2 linked regions of the Schizosaccharomyces pombe genome follow. Changing the gene in region 1 together with any one later gene gives a genetic interaction. Each region holds a gene or a part of one and is shown in the gene's direction. Other genes may lie near its edges.

What was found.
Region 2: mutations in shm1 (region 1) and php5 together harm fitness more than expected from each alone (negative genetic interaction), as found in Schizosaccharomyces pombe (one large-scale study listed by BioGRID).

What each region holds. Positions count from the first base shown.
Region 1 is NC_003424.3:3,068,370-3,073,640, reverse strand, and holds shm1 (serine hydroxymethyltransferase), read left to right. Parts: upstream 1-2,541; 5' UTR 2,542-2,623; coding exon 2,624-4,027; 3' UTR 4,028-4,319; downstream 4,320-5,271. Other genes in the region: ubiquitin-specific cysteine protease, OTU family, Otu1, read right to left, coding at 1-463; mrp10 (mitochondrial 37S ribosomal protein mS37), read left to right, coding at 1,637-1,837, 1,891-1,956; sgd1 (ribosome small subunit biogenesis protein), read right to left, coding at 4,587-4,859, 4,907-5,227, 5,271-5,271.
Region 2 is NC_003423.3:3,392,596-3,398,580, reverse strand, and holds php5 (CCAAT-binding factor complex histone fold subunit Php5), read left to right. Parts: upstream 1-2,074; 5' UTR 2,075-2,880; coding exon 2,881-3,225; exon of another isoform or gene 3,226-3,270; coding exon 3,271-3,300; exon of another isoform or gene 3,301-3,358; coding exon 3,359-4,231; 3' UTR 4,232-4,677; downstream 4,678-5,985. Other genes in the region: mitochondrial [2Fe-2S] cluster assembly NADPH-ferredoxin reductase Arh1, read right to left, coding at 1-664, 747-953; lys9 (saccharopine dehydrogenase), read left to right, coding at 5,412-5,985. UniProt on the Schizosaccharomyces pombe protein: Component of the CCAAT-bound heteromer, php5 is essential for DNA-binding activity. It is essential for transcription activation of cyc1. It is the linchpin that binds to the subunit association domains (SAD) of php2 and php3 to bring these proteins together.

The sequences.
Region 1 (5,271 bases):
GAGGCTTTGACAATGCACGAAACAAACAAGAGTTATCGTCTGGCATCACGCGGAGCGCAATATCACCAATTGGGGTACTGACGTACGGAGGATCTTGACTTGTGTTTTTGGACTGGTGCGACACAGCTGGGGGATTGGAGATCTCTGTTTGCGGTGGGAATGTAGGTTTTGTGGCTGCATTAGGAATTGGAGGTTTTGCTGGTTCATTCGTTGAAAATGAGGTAGCGGCATTTTTGAGAACGAGGATTTGCTGTCCTGAAGAAACCAACGTCGATAAAGGAACGTCTGAATTAACTAAAGGAATATCTTGAGGAGGAAATCCGAATTTTAAAGCAATCGAGTTTCTAGGCAACGAGAATTTCGCTGCCACTAAGTCTAAAAAGGATCCAACAGTCGCATTTGCTTCAACTGTCTCTACAGCAGACTGATTTTCGTATTTTAAACGAAGACGTAGTGAAGACATAGTCAGATAATTTTAACAAACCCGGAACGTTGCAAAAAAGCAATCAGCCGTAAACGGGAGAAACAGGAGTACACTTAAAGAGAGCGTTCTCAAAAAATTACCAAATCCTACTATGTAAATGAAACTGACAATAGCACACCAAACAAAAGCTTCACTAAACAACCGATTTTCCCTAATAAGGGAAATTGAGTAACCAGTTTCTTGTTTTCTTCTTTTTTCTAGAAAACTCTGGAATTTTTAACTTAGGTACAATAACTTTATTTCTAAATTTGAAAGAAAATTATAATGAATCAGCAAAAGAATATACCAACAAACGTCTTGAATGTAAAGCATTGAACATTCAAAGAACGATGCTTAATGCAGTTTTTTAAATATTAGCTACGCAGTTTGTTATCTATTTTATCGATACGTAAACTTGCAGTGGAATTTTCTTTACTATATAATATAAACGTATACAGGTGGTGCAGCAAGCGCTGCTATAGGTATTATCTTATATGGATTTTATATGTTACATACTACTGAAATAGCTTAGCTGAACTGAGGAACGAGGTTCAGTGGTCACACTATATTTAGTTTTTTAATATTATTTATTAGAAGTTATATATATATGAATAGAAGAATAGTTATTCATAAACTTTAAAGAGCAGGTATTAACTAGTATTCTATCGTACGACACATTGTGATACGCAAGTAATATAGCATAGCATAGTGTAGTGTAGTATCGTAGAAAGCAGAATGTAAATATGAGTTGCTGGGAGTTCGTTATTATAATGATAGAGCATTTTTATCTAGATTCTTGAGGTTTCCTTCTAATTCAAGTTAGATTTGTAATGTTAGTTGAAACGCATAATTAAAACTACTTTCTAATAAAAATCTATAAACCTCCTACCACTTTTTGGCTGATAACTTTTAGCATGGTTGTAGACGGTGAAAGAATATCTTCCTAAACTCACTAAACCAGTTTATAGCGGGCTTGCGCACTAAAAATGCAGATGACAACTTCACCATCTCGTGTAGTATTGTTTGAGAAGGTAAGGTACCTTGAAAAGTCACTTTTGAGTCCTCTTTTTTTTAAAGTTTCCTTTAAAGATTAATACCTTTACCTAAAATTATTTTGTTCTCCCTTAAAGACTTAATTTAGTCGTGTCACTCAAGGCACAACCCTTGTTGATCATGTCGAAGAAAATTGTAAACCCTCCCAGATTGCAAGGCTTAAGTAGACTTAGAGTCCGACCGAAAAGAGAAAAAAATACCATACCATGTGGCCAAGAGATGGCAGCATTACTAGGATGCTGGCAAAATCATGGTGGTCAAACAGATACAGCACAATGCGCGAATTTAGTTGCAGCCCTCGAAAATTGCATGAAGACAACGGTATGTAACGGTTATAAATATTTATGCACTTTCTACTGACAGTTTTTTTTTAGCATCGTAAAACAAAATCCGAAAATACAATAAATTACCATCTGGCTAGGCTCGGAAAACTTTTATAGCTTGTTGTTTTAACCTCTCTTCCGTTTTTTGAAGATCGTTATTTTTAACATTGGTTTCCATAAGGTAGTTTAATGCCAATAGTTTGTGAATGTTAGTCAAAGTTCATCATAACGAAAAACAAGAAACCGCATATCATATCTCCTCTACGCGATTCTAAGAATCTAAAGCATTTAATAATTGCCCATCTATTTACTAGCTGATGACTGCTTTATATTTTTATTTACGAAATCTTTCCTTAAAATCATTTTTGATGCTTTTGAAAATATTTTAAATAACAGAAATTTACATGCCTTCTCCCATATATCTTTAATCTAAAATCTACCTAAGTTGTCATAGCCTATTAGCTAAAAGCACCTAATGTTATAACTCTTCTATGGATCAAAAAAATAAATGAGGAATGCTCATTTTGATGTTTTTACTTACCTGCGCATTTATCAATTGTTAACAATATTCGTTAAATAGTATTAGGGAGACATTTCGCTTAGATATTCCTTATCTTGTTTTCTCAGACTTGCTAGCATGTATCCTAAAGAGCAGTCACTTTTTTTACCATTACCAGAAGTTGGCAAAAAAAATCTATCCTTAGTGTATCACTCTTGTCTTTACAGGCGTTGTCGTGTGGTTTTCTTTGAATAAGAACAAGAAGCATATTTACAATATTTCAAGATGTCTTCCAACGACAGTATTATGTTGACTCCTCTTAAGGAACAGGATCCCACTGTTGCCGAAATTATGAGACACGAAGCTGATCGTCAACGTTCTTCTGTTGTTCTTATCGCCTCTGAGAACTTCACCTCTCGTGCTGTTATGGATGCTCTTGGAAGTGTCATGAGCAACAAGTATTCAGAGGGTTATCCTGGTGCTCGTTACTATGGTGGTAACAAGTTTATCGATCAAATTGAAACTCTTTGCCAAGAGCGTGCACTTGCTGCCTTCAATCTTGATCCTGCTAAATGGGGTGTCAACGTTCAATGTCTTTCCGGTTCCCCCGCTAACATGCAAGTTTATCAAGCCATTATGCCTCCTCACGGTCGTTTAATGGGTCTTGACTTGCCTTCAGGTGGCCATCTTTCTCACGGTTATCAAACTGATACCAAGAAGATTAGTGCTGTTTCTACTTACTTTGAGTCTATGCCCTACCGTGTTGATCCTAACACCGGTTTGATTGACTATGACATGTTGGAGCACGACGCTCAGTTATTCCGTCCCAAGATCCTTGTTGCTGGTACTTCTGCTTATTGCCGTCTCATTGACTACGCTCGTATGCGACAAATTGCTGACAGCGTTAACGCATACTTGGTCGTTGACATGGCTCATATTTCTGGTCTTGTCTCAGCTGGTGTTATCCCTTCCCCCTTTGAATATGCTGATGTTGTTACTACCACCACTCACAAGTCTCTACGTGGACCTCGTGGTGCTATGATCTTCTTCCGTCGTGGTCTTCGTAAGCATGACAAGAAGGGTAACCCCATTTACTATGACTTGGAGGATAAGATCAACTTCTCCGTTTTCCCTGGCCATCAAGGTGGTCCCCACAACCACACCATCACTGCTTTGGCTGTTGCATTGAAGCAATGCCAAGAGCCCGCTTACAAGGAGTATCAAGCTCAAGTTGTTAAAAATGCTAAGGTCTGCGAAGAGGAATTCAAAAAGCGTGGTTACAAACTTGCTGCTGACGGTACTGACAGTCACATGGTTTTGGTTGATGTCAAGAGCAAGGGTGTTGACGGTGCTCGTGCTGAGCGCGTGTTGGAATTGATCAACATTGTTACCAACAAGAATACTGTACCTTCTGACAAATCTGCTTTCTCTCCCTCTGGTATTCGTGTCGGAACCCCTGCCATGACTACTCGTGGATTCAAGGAACAAGACTTTGTTCGTGTTGTTGACTACATTGACCGTGCTCTTACTTTTGCCGCCAACTTACAAAAGGAGCTTCCCAAGGACGCCAACAAGCTCAAAGACTTCAAGGCTAAACTTGGTGAAGGTGAACAATACCCCGAGCTTGTTCAACTTCAAAAAGAAGTCGCTGAGTGGGCTTCTAGCTTCCCTCTTGCTGATAAGTGGTAATTTTATTAAAGTTCGTCTCCTTCTGTTCTTTTTCAAAAGGGCAAAATCGTCAATAATAATTAGTATCTGACTCAGTAAGTAAGCTTTGCCCTTTCTTCGTTTCTTTGCAAAATTGATTTGGTTACATGAGTAATAGTGTCTAGAAATATGTCTATACCCATGTGTGTGTCTCTCAACAGAAACCATTACTAATTTTATTTAATTCTCTTTATTGTTTATGTTTTAGCTTCAACTCTAATTTTTGGCCAAAATGCCAATTTTCATAATATCATTTTGCATCCGGTTTCCTTATAATAGTTGTTTAATTGGTTAAGTCAAAGTAAGTATGCAGGTAAATCATGAATTCTTTATAGTATATGTTCAATGTTGCAATATTATAGTTTATGTTTAGACAATGTCAAGCATAAATAAGCTTAATAATGATAACCAACTTACTGAAGGTGTATATATGTGTCAGTTTTCAAACCAAAACCTTTTTATTTATAACCGTAACCCTAAGTTTTTATGAATAGTATAGTATACGATATACTATATATGTACATAAGAAAATGATGAAAACTCAAATTTCTTCTTTGGAAATGCTCTGTAAAATGGCGCTAGCCATCGCAAGATTAGACTTGAACAGAGCTTTTTTAGAATTATCCACTAAAGGATTTTTCCGAACATAAGTTTTTAAGAACCAATCCACTTTCGATGAAAGGTTTTTCTCTGCTTTGCAGTTTTCAAATATTTTTACGAGTTGTAAATCGTCTTTAACTCCCAAAATTATATCGGTAAAAAAGACCAGTAAAAACGTTTGCATTTGGGCATTAATGGCCATAAAATCCACATGCTAAAATTGAGTTAGTAATTACAATCAAATTTTTAGAATATACGTACTTTGAGGATAGTTAAGGGCTGTGCAGCTTCAATGACTAAAGACGCATAAAGCTTCGCCAAGTTAACTATGCGTCTCATGGATATTTCTCTTTCTTCACTATCATCATCTGGTTGTAGTTCATTAAAGAAATCCCAAAGAGAGAATTGAAATGACTTTTTCAAATTGTGCTGCAATGTACAACATTTTAACGCTACCAAACCATAAAACGGGTTATACAATTTCTCATTACCAACGCAATGCAAAATTACATAAGCTATTTCAGGTAATTGATTCCTTTTGAGATGCAACTTCAGCACTCTTTCCCATGCATCAATGTAGTCCTAAGTTTGTTAGTTTAAAGTTAATGAAATTTAGAACGAATACC
Region 2 (5,985 bases), on another chromosome or scaffold:
CAAATTCCAAATTCCAACATTTCTTGTCTTTTGAATAAGGGGCTACTCGTTTCTCTGAAACAGCTTTCTGGATTTCGGAAACTAATAGCTTTAACAATCTCTTTCTAGGTCTATCCAAACCGCTTGCATCTGTTTCATTCATCCACTTTGTAGAATAATTAAAGGAAGGAGCAAAGAAAACTGCACTTGATAGGGCAAACAGTTCTCTCAATTCTTTGATAGTAAACGAGACAGAAAATATGTTTCTTCTTCCTACAATGTGTAATCTTTTTAAATTGCTTCTTTCAAGTGATTTGAGGAACAATGGATTAATGTCAGTTGGGGATAATTGAGCAGGATTACTTAAAAGGATTCGAGCTACATCAAGTGAAACATTACCATGTCCAATAACTACTGCATCCTCTACCTGACTTAAATCCAACTCAAGATTTTGATTTCTGGGATCACTGTTATACCAACCCACCACTTCTCGCGCACTATAAACACCTGACAAGTCCTCCCCTGGAATTCCCAGTCTCTTGTCCCCAGCAGCTCCATAGGCAAGGACCAAACAATCATAATTTTTAGTCAAATCCCGTAAAGAAACATCAGTCCCAACGTTTACGTTACCAAGGAAGCGAAATTGTGTAGACTCAGCAATTTCGGAAAACTTGTGTTCTACATGCTACAATAGAGGTTAGCTGTATAATAAATTTAATAAGATCCATTTTTAAACCAATCAATATTTCTTGGCTTAACAGACTTACCTTAACTTCTGGATGATCTGGGGCAACTCCATAACGTACAAGCCCAAATGGAACTGGGCGGGATTCAAACATATCTATTTTGACATTTGGGTCATTTCGTAAGAGTCTGTGGGCTGTGTAAAAAGCAGCCGGCCCAGAACCGATGATGCCGACTACAGGTGAAGAAGTTTGAGTGCTATATGTTCTTTTAATGAATCGTGATAGCATCCTTTCTTAGCCTTAAGATGAAAGAAAAACAAAAAATGATTGAAATGAAGAAGTGAAGGATATCTTCGTGATTGTAAATCTGATATAAAACTAGCAGCAATTATCATTAACAACTGGACTCTCCTCAAAACGAAAAGAAAAGCTACCAATGCTTAATAAAACTGATTCATTAGTTTTAAAGCTTTAAATGTTTAATCTCAATAAACTGTTTGGTGACACCTATACAACTAGTGAATTTTATAGCATTGGATGAGTGGTCAGGTTCAAGCAGCCAAGCCTTTTGAGAGCAAAGCATTTATATGATAAGATCAGTCAGTATTTAGAAAAAGGAAATTTCTTATTAAATCAAAGGTAATTACAAACAGGAAAGTTGAATCAAACGCTACAACAGAACTTTTGCTGATCGTTGCTTACGATATTACCAGCAACAAACATCTCATATAGTAAAGTGCAAACCTTCAAATAAGTGTTTTATGTTGTTATTATGAGTGACTTAAGCAGCTTCAAACTGATTTCTGCAATGATTTTTTTATGATATTTCAAATAACTAGTTAGATGATTGTGGCTCAAATGGTTAATTTGAAAACGATATATTTAAATTTCTTAAAAATAATTAATCTCTGCTTATTCAATCATACTTATTTATAAAGATGCTAAACCTAGCTACTTGAAAGTGTTTTCTAATTCCTACTATTATAATGATAAAACAAAAAATAAGAATTTATTACATTCAAAATAATTCTATTTATAAAGGTCAATTACTCTTTCACGTTTAAAGAACTGTTGTAAGACCAACAAATTGTAACGCGGTAAGCTTTATCTTTGCGAGGACTTTAAAAAGGCGTAAGATTCAATTAACAAGGATGTATTTTAATGTAATTCCTGGATTGAAGTCAATTACTATACGTATTTTCTATTCTGTTTGCTTTAATTACTGAATAATATTTGCACATGCTATTGTTTATAGTATTATATCTACTACCGCGAAAACATTAATTATGTATATCAAATAATGAATATTTACGTGTCGTTAAAGTGTTTTAGCAATTGTAGAAACAAAGTATGTGGTACTATAAACCGGTTCCATCAATAAGTTGTGTGACAGCCAACCATCTTCTGCCAGCCACCAATAAATTCAATCGTACCGATTTTCGCTATATTGAGTGTTTTTGCACTCTATATACTTAATTAAGCCAGGTGTAATACGCTACATAGATAATTCAAGACACTTCGACGAGTTAAGGTGCTTTACTAGTGTTCTTTATTGAAGTTCTTTGTTTTAAGAAGTTAATGTGTTAGAGATACGTTAGTAACTGCACTTGTTGCTTTGTCTTACTCATTCTACGAGTTTTTCGTGAATTAAGACGATTGGTATTTATCTTTTTAGATATTGCAACTAAGCCTCGTGTTTAGCCGTTCGTGTTCCTTTCGATTGTAAAACTTTTTATTTTTTTCTTTCCGTTCCACTCTTCAACTTGACGTCAATTTGTTTTACTTCCCTGTTTCGTCTCCTGCTCACCTCTCATATAAGTTTAATTCCCCATTTTACCGGAGACTACTCCGCTCCCTTTCTATTTTATTTCTACTTATCTTGGTTACGATTTTGTTAAGCTGTACATCAAGGTATTGGAAGTTTTCTTTAATCCGCATCTTTATCGCCTCTTAATATTTAGATTTTCGATTTGAAATTCTTTAGCTTAAATTATTGTCAGTTTCTTTAACAGCTTTGTTTTTAGGAAACTGGTATTTGTTAGATCCCGGCATAGTTACAATTTTTGTCATTGTCGTTTTTTTAAACCTGTCACCAGTGAGATTGCATTGATCTCTTATCTAATTGGCAAAGGCCTTTACGTTTCCAGTTTTCTTTTTAAACTAAATTGCCTTTCTGTAGACTTTTTTTCGTTTTTCAATTAAGATTCATTGCAAAATGAATTCTATTCCTGATTCCTATTCCTTGAAACAAGGCTTTCCCGAAGGTTTAGGAGAATATGTTGATCCCTCTGGCAATCCTAATTCTCAGGTACGGATAGGTTATGGTCAAGATTCTGTTTCTCGCTTCCAACAACCAGTCCCCGATGTTGATCCAACTGCTGTCAATCACTACAACGCTAGTGCACCCATTGAGGTTGCTAGTCCATTTGATAATGTTACTCAAGGTCTTGTTGGCAGTGATGCACAAGCCCTTGCTGAATATTGGCAAAAAACCATCGATACATTGGAACATGACGATCAAGCTGTAAAAACTCTGCATCTTCCCTTAGCTCGTATTAAGGTATGCCACTTTTTCTGAATTAATTACTAACTATTGATTATGCAGAAAGTTATGAAAACTGACGATGATGTGAAGGTACGTTACTTTGAGTATTCGAATACTTTTTGACATTAACTTTTACTAATTTTTTTAGAATAAAATGATCTCGGCAGAAGCTCCTTTTCTGTTCGCTAAAGGAAGTGAGATATTTATTGCAGAGCTTACTATGAGGGCTTGGCTTCATGCCAAAAAAAATCAACGAAGGACACTACAAAGATCCGATATTGCAAATGCAGTATCAAAATCTGAAATGTATGATTTCTTAATTGATATTATATCTAAAGATAACAATAATTCCCGCGCATCTTCCAGTCAAGCTCATATGTCTGCTACTCAAGTTGCTGCTATGGGTGGTATGAATGGTTTACAACCTTTCCCCACTCAAGCTGGCTTACCCAATCAAGGGTTTCCAATGCCAACTGGTAGTCAACTTCCATTTTCAAATCAACAGTCAAGTCAGCCTTCAATGCAGTATTCCTCTCATCCATCCAGAATGCAGCAAATGCAAGATATTGATCAATCTATGTATAAACAGCAGCGTCTGGGCTCTGAATATCCACAACTACAAATGTCAGATAACTCCGGAAATGTTAACCAGATGAATATGCAAAGACCGGTCATGGTAGCACCGTACATGGCTGAGCATTTATACCGTTATCCACCTACGCATCTCGAATCTGGATCCTCAGCTTTCCGATTGCAGTCATCCCCTATGGGATATCAAATGCCCCAATTTCAAGGTAATATGCGACCTAATATGCAACAGTCTCAAATGTTTGATCCTTCTGCATATGGTATGTCAAGAAGACCTGGATCTCCTCGGCAATTCGATCAGCAACAGAGACTTTATTCACAGCCAAACGCTATGATGTATCAAACTCAGCAAGGGCGTCAGGGAAACCCAATGCATCAGCAGTTTTCCCAGCAACAAAACCCTCTTTCTCGCTATTCGCAACAACCCCAGTAATATCTTTTAATACCTGTTGATTTAGAACATGCAATTTAAATAATTTCTATTAAATTATTTGGGAGGATCCAACAGTGATGCATTTTTAGGTGGAACTTTCAATTTGTCAATTTTCGGTTTATCTACAAAAGCTTAAAGAAACAGTTGATTTTCATGACATGCTATGTCTAGTCATTGTTACTTTTTTTAAGCTATGTGTGGTTTTATTTTTTTAGCAAGACCGAAAAAGAAATGACGGAAGCTTTTCATATTTGCTGCCTCTTTATTTTCCCATTGCGGGACTGCTAGTGTAGAGTATTTTGTTTTACTTAAACATATATATGCATTTGAAATTCATTGTCGATAACATTCTACCTATTATGGATATTTACGGGTTGTCAATGTAAATAAATGATGGCATGTTGCAATCGGTTACCAAGAAGCAATTAGCTTTAAACAACGTTTAGGTTTACTTTATAATTAAATTTATTCGTATATGTACTTGAAAATTTGCACTTTTGATGATTTTTTAATTTAAAATCTCATAAATTTTAACTTCTATGTAAAAAGGTATTTAGGCTCATTATGCAAGGAAATTACAGCTGCTTTCATTCCCGACTGCATAAAAAACCACCATTCCACGGCCACCATACTCGAGGTAAAAATGAGTACGGCGGTGCGAGGCAGTTTAATTTACTCCTTCACCAGAACTACGCAGTTGATTATGAACAACAGATAGGCAGAAAGAGGAGAAACAAATTATTCTTATACTAAAGCTTAGAATTCTTTAATCTACCCCCAAACAACAACGAATGGCATCTACTAGCTTTTAAGCAACTTCTGTTCTGCAGAAAAAAACTACGTAAAAAAAGTTGCTAAAACTATCAGTTGCGACATCGCTGCTAACAAATTATCGACTAAACTTGTCGATAATAACGAATTCCCCTAGTAAGCCAAACATAACATTGAGAGGAAACGTAACGATTAAATATTAATTCAAAAAATGGTCCATGTGACTGCTTTTTTAACCGATTCGAGATAATCAGTTTTCATCAATTTAGACGACGATTTCGGCCATCAGAAATAAATCTGTGGATAAAAAGGAACCCCTTATATATCGCTAAAACCGTGACGACAAAACAGAAGTCTTTGGTTTACCACTTGTCCTTAACTGACTGCCTCTTTCATTTTCAACATCAAAATGCCTTCCATCTTATTACTTGGTTCGGGATTTGTCGCTCATCCTACTTTAGAATATTTATCTCGTCGTAAAGAAAATAATATAACCGTAGCATGCAGAACTCTTTCTAAGGCTGAAGCATTTATTAATGGTATCCCAAACAGCAAAGCCATTGCTTTGGATGTCAATGATGAAGCAGCTCTTGAGAAAGCTGTTTCCGAACATGATCTTACCATCAGCTTGATTCCTTACACTTATCATGCAACAGTTATGAAAGCTGCCATTAAGCATGGTAAACACGTTTGTACCACCAGTTATGTGAATCCCAAAATGGCTGAGTTGGAGGAAGCTGCCATCAAGGCTGGTTCTATTTGTATGAACGAAATCGGCGTCGATCCCGGTATTGATCATTTATATGCTATCAAGACCATTGAAGAGGTTCATAAAGCTGGCGGTAAGATTAAGTCTTTCTTGTCTTATTGTGGAGGTCTTCCCGCTCCCGAGGACTCCAACAATCCTTTAGGATACAAGTTTTCTTGGTCTTCTCGTGGTGTTTTGTTGGCTCTTCGCAACTCTGCCAAGTTTTATGAAAACG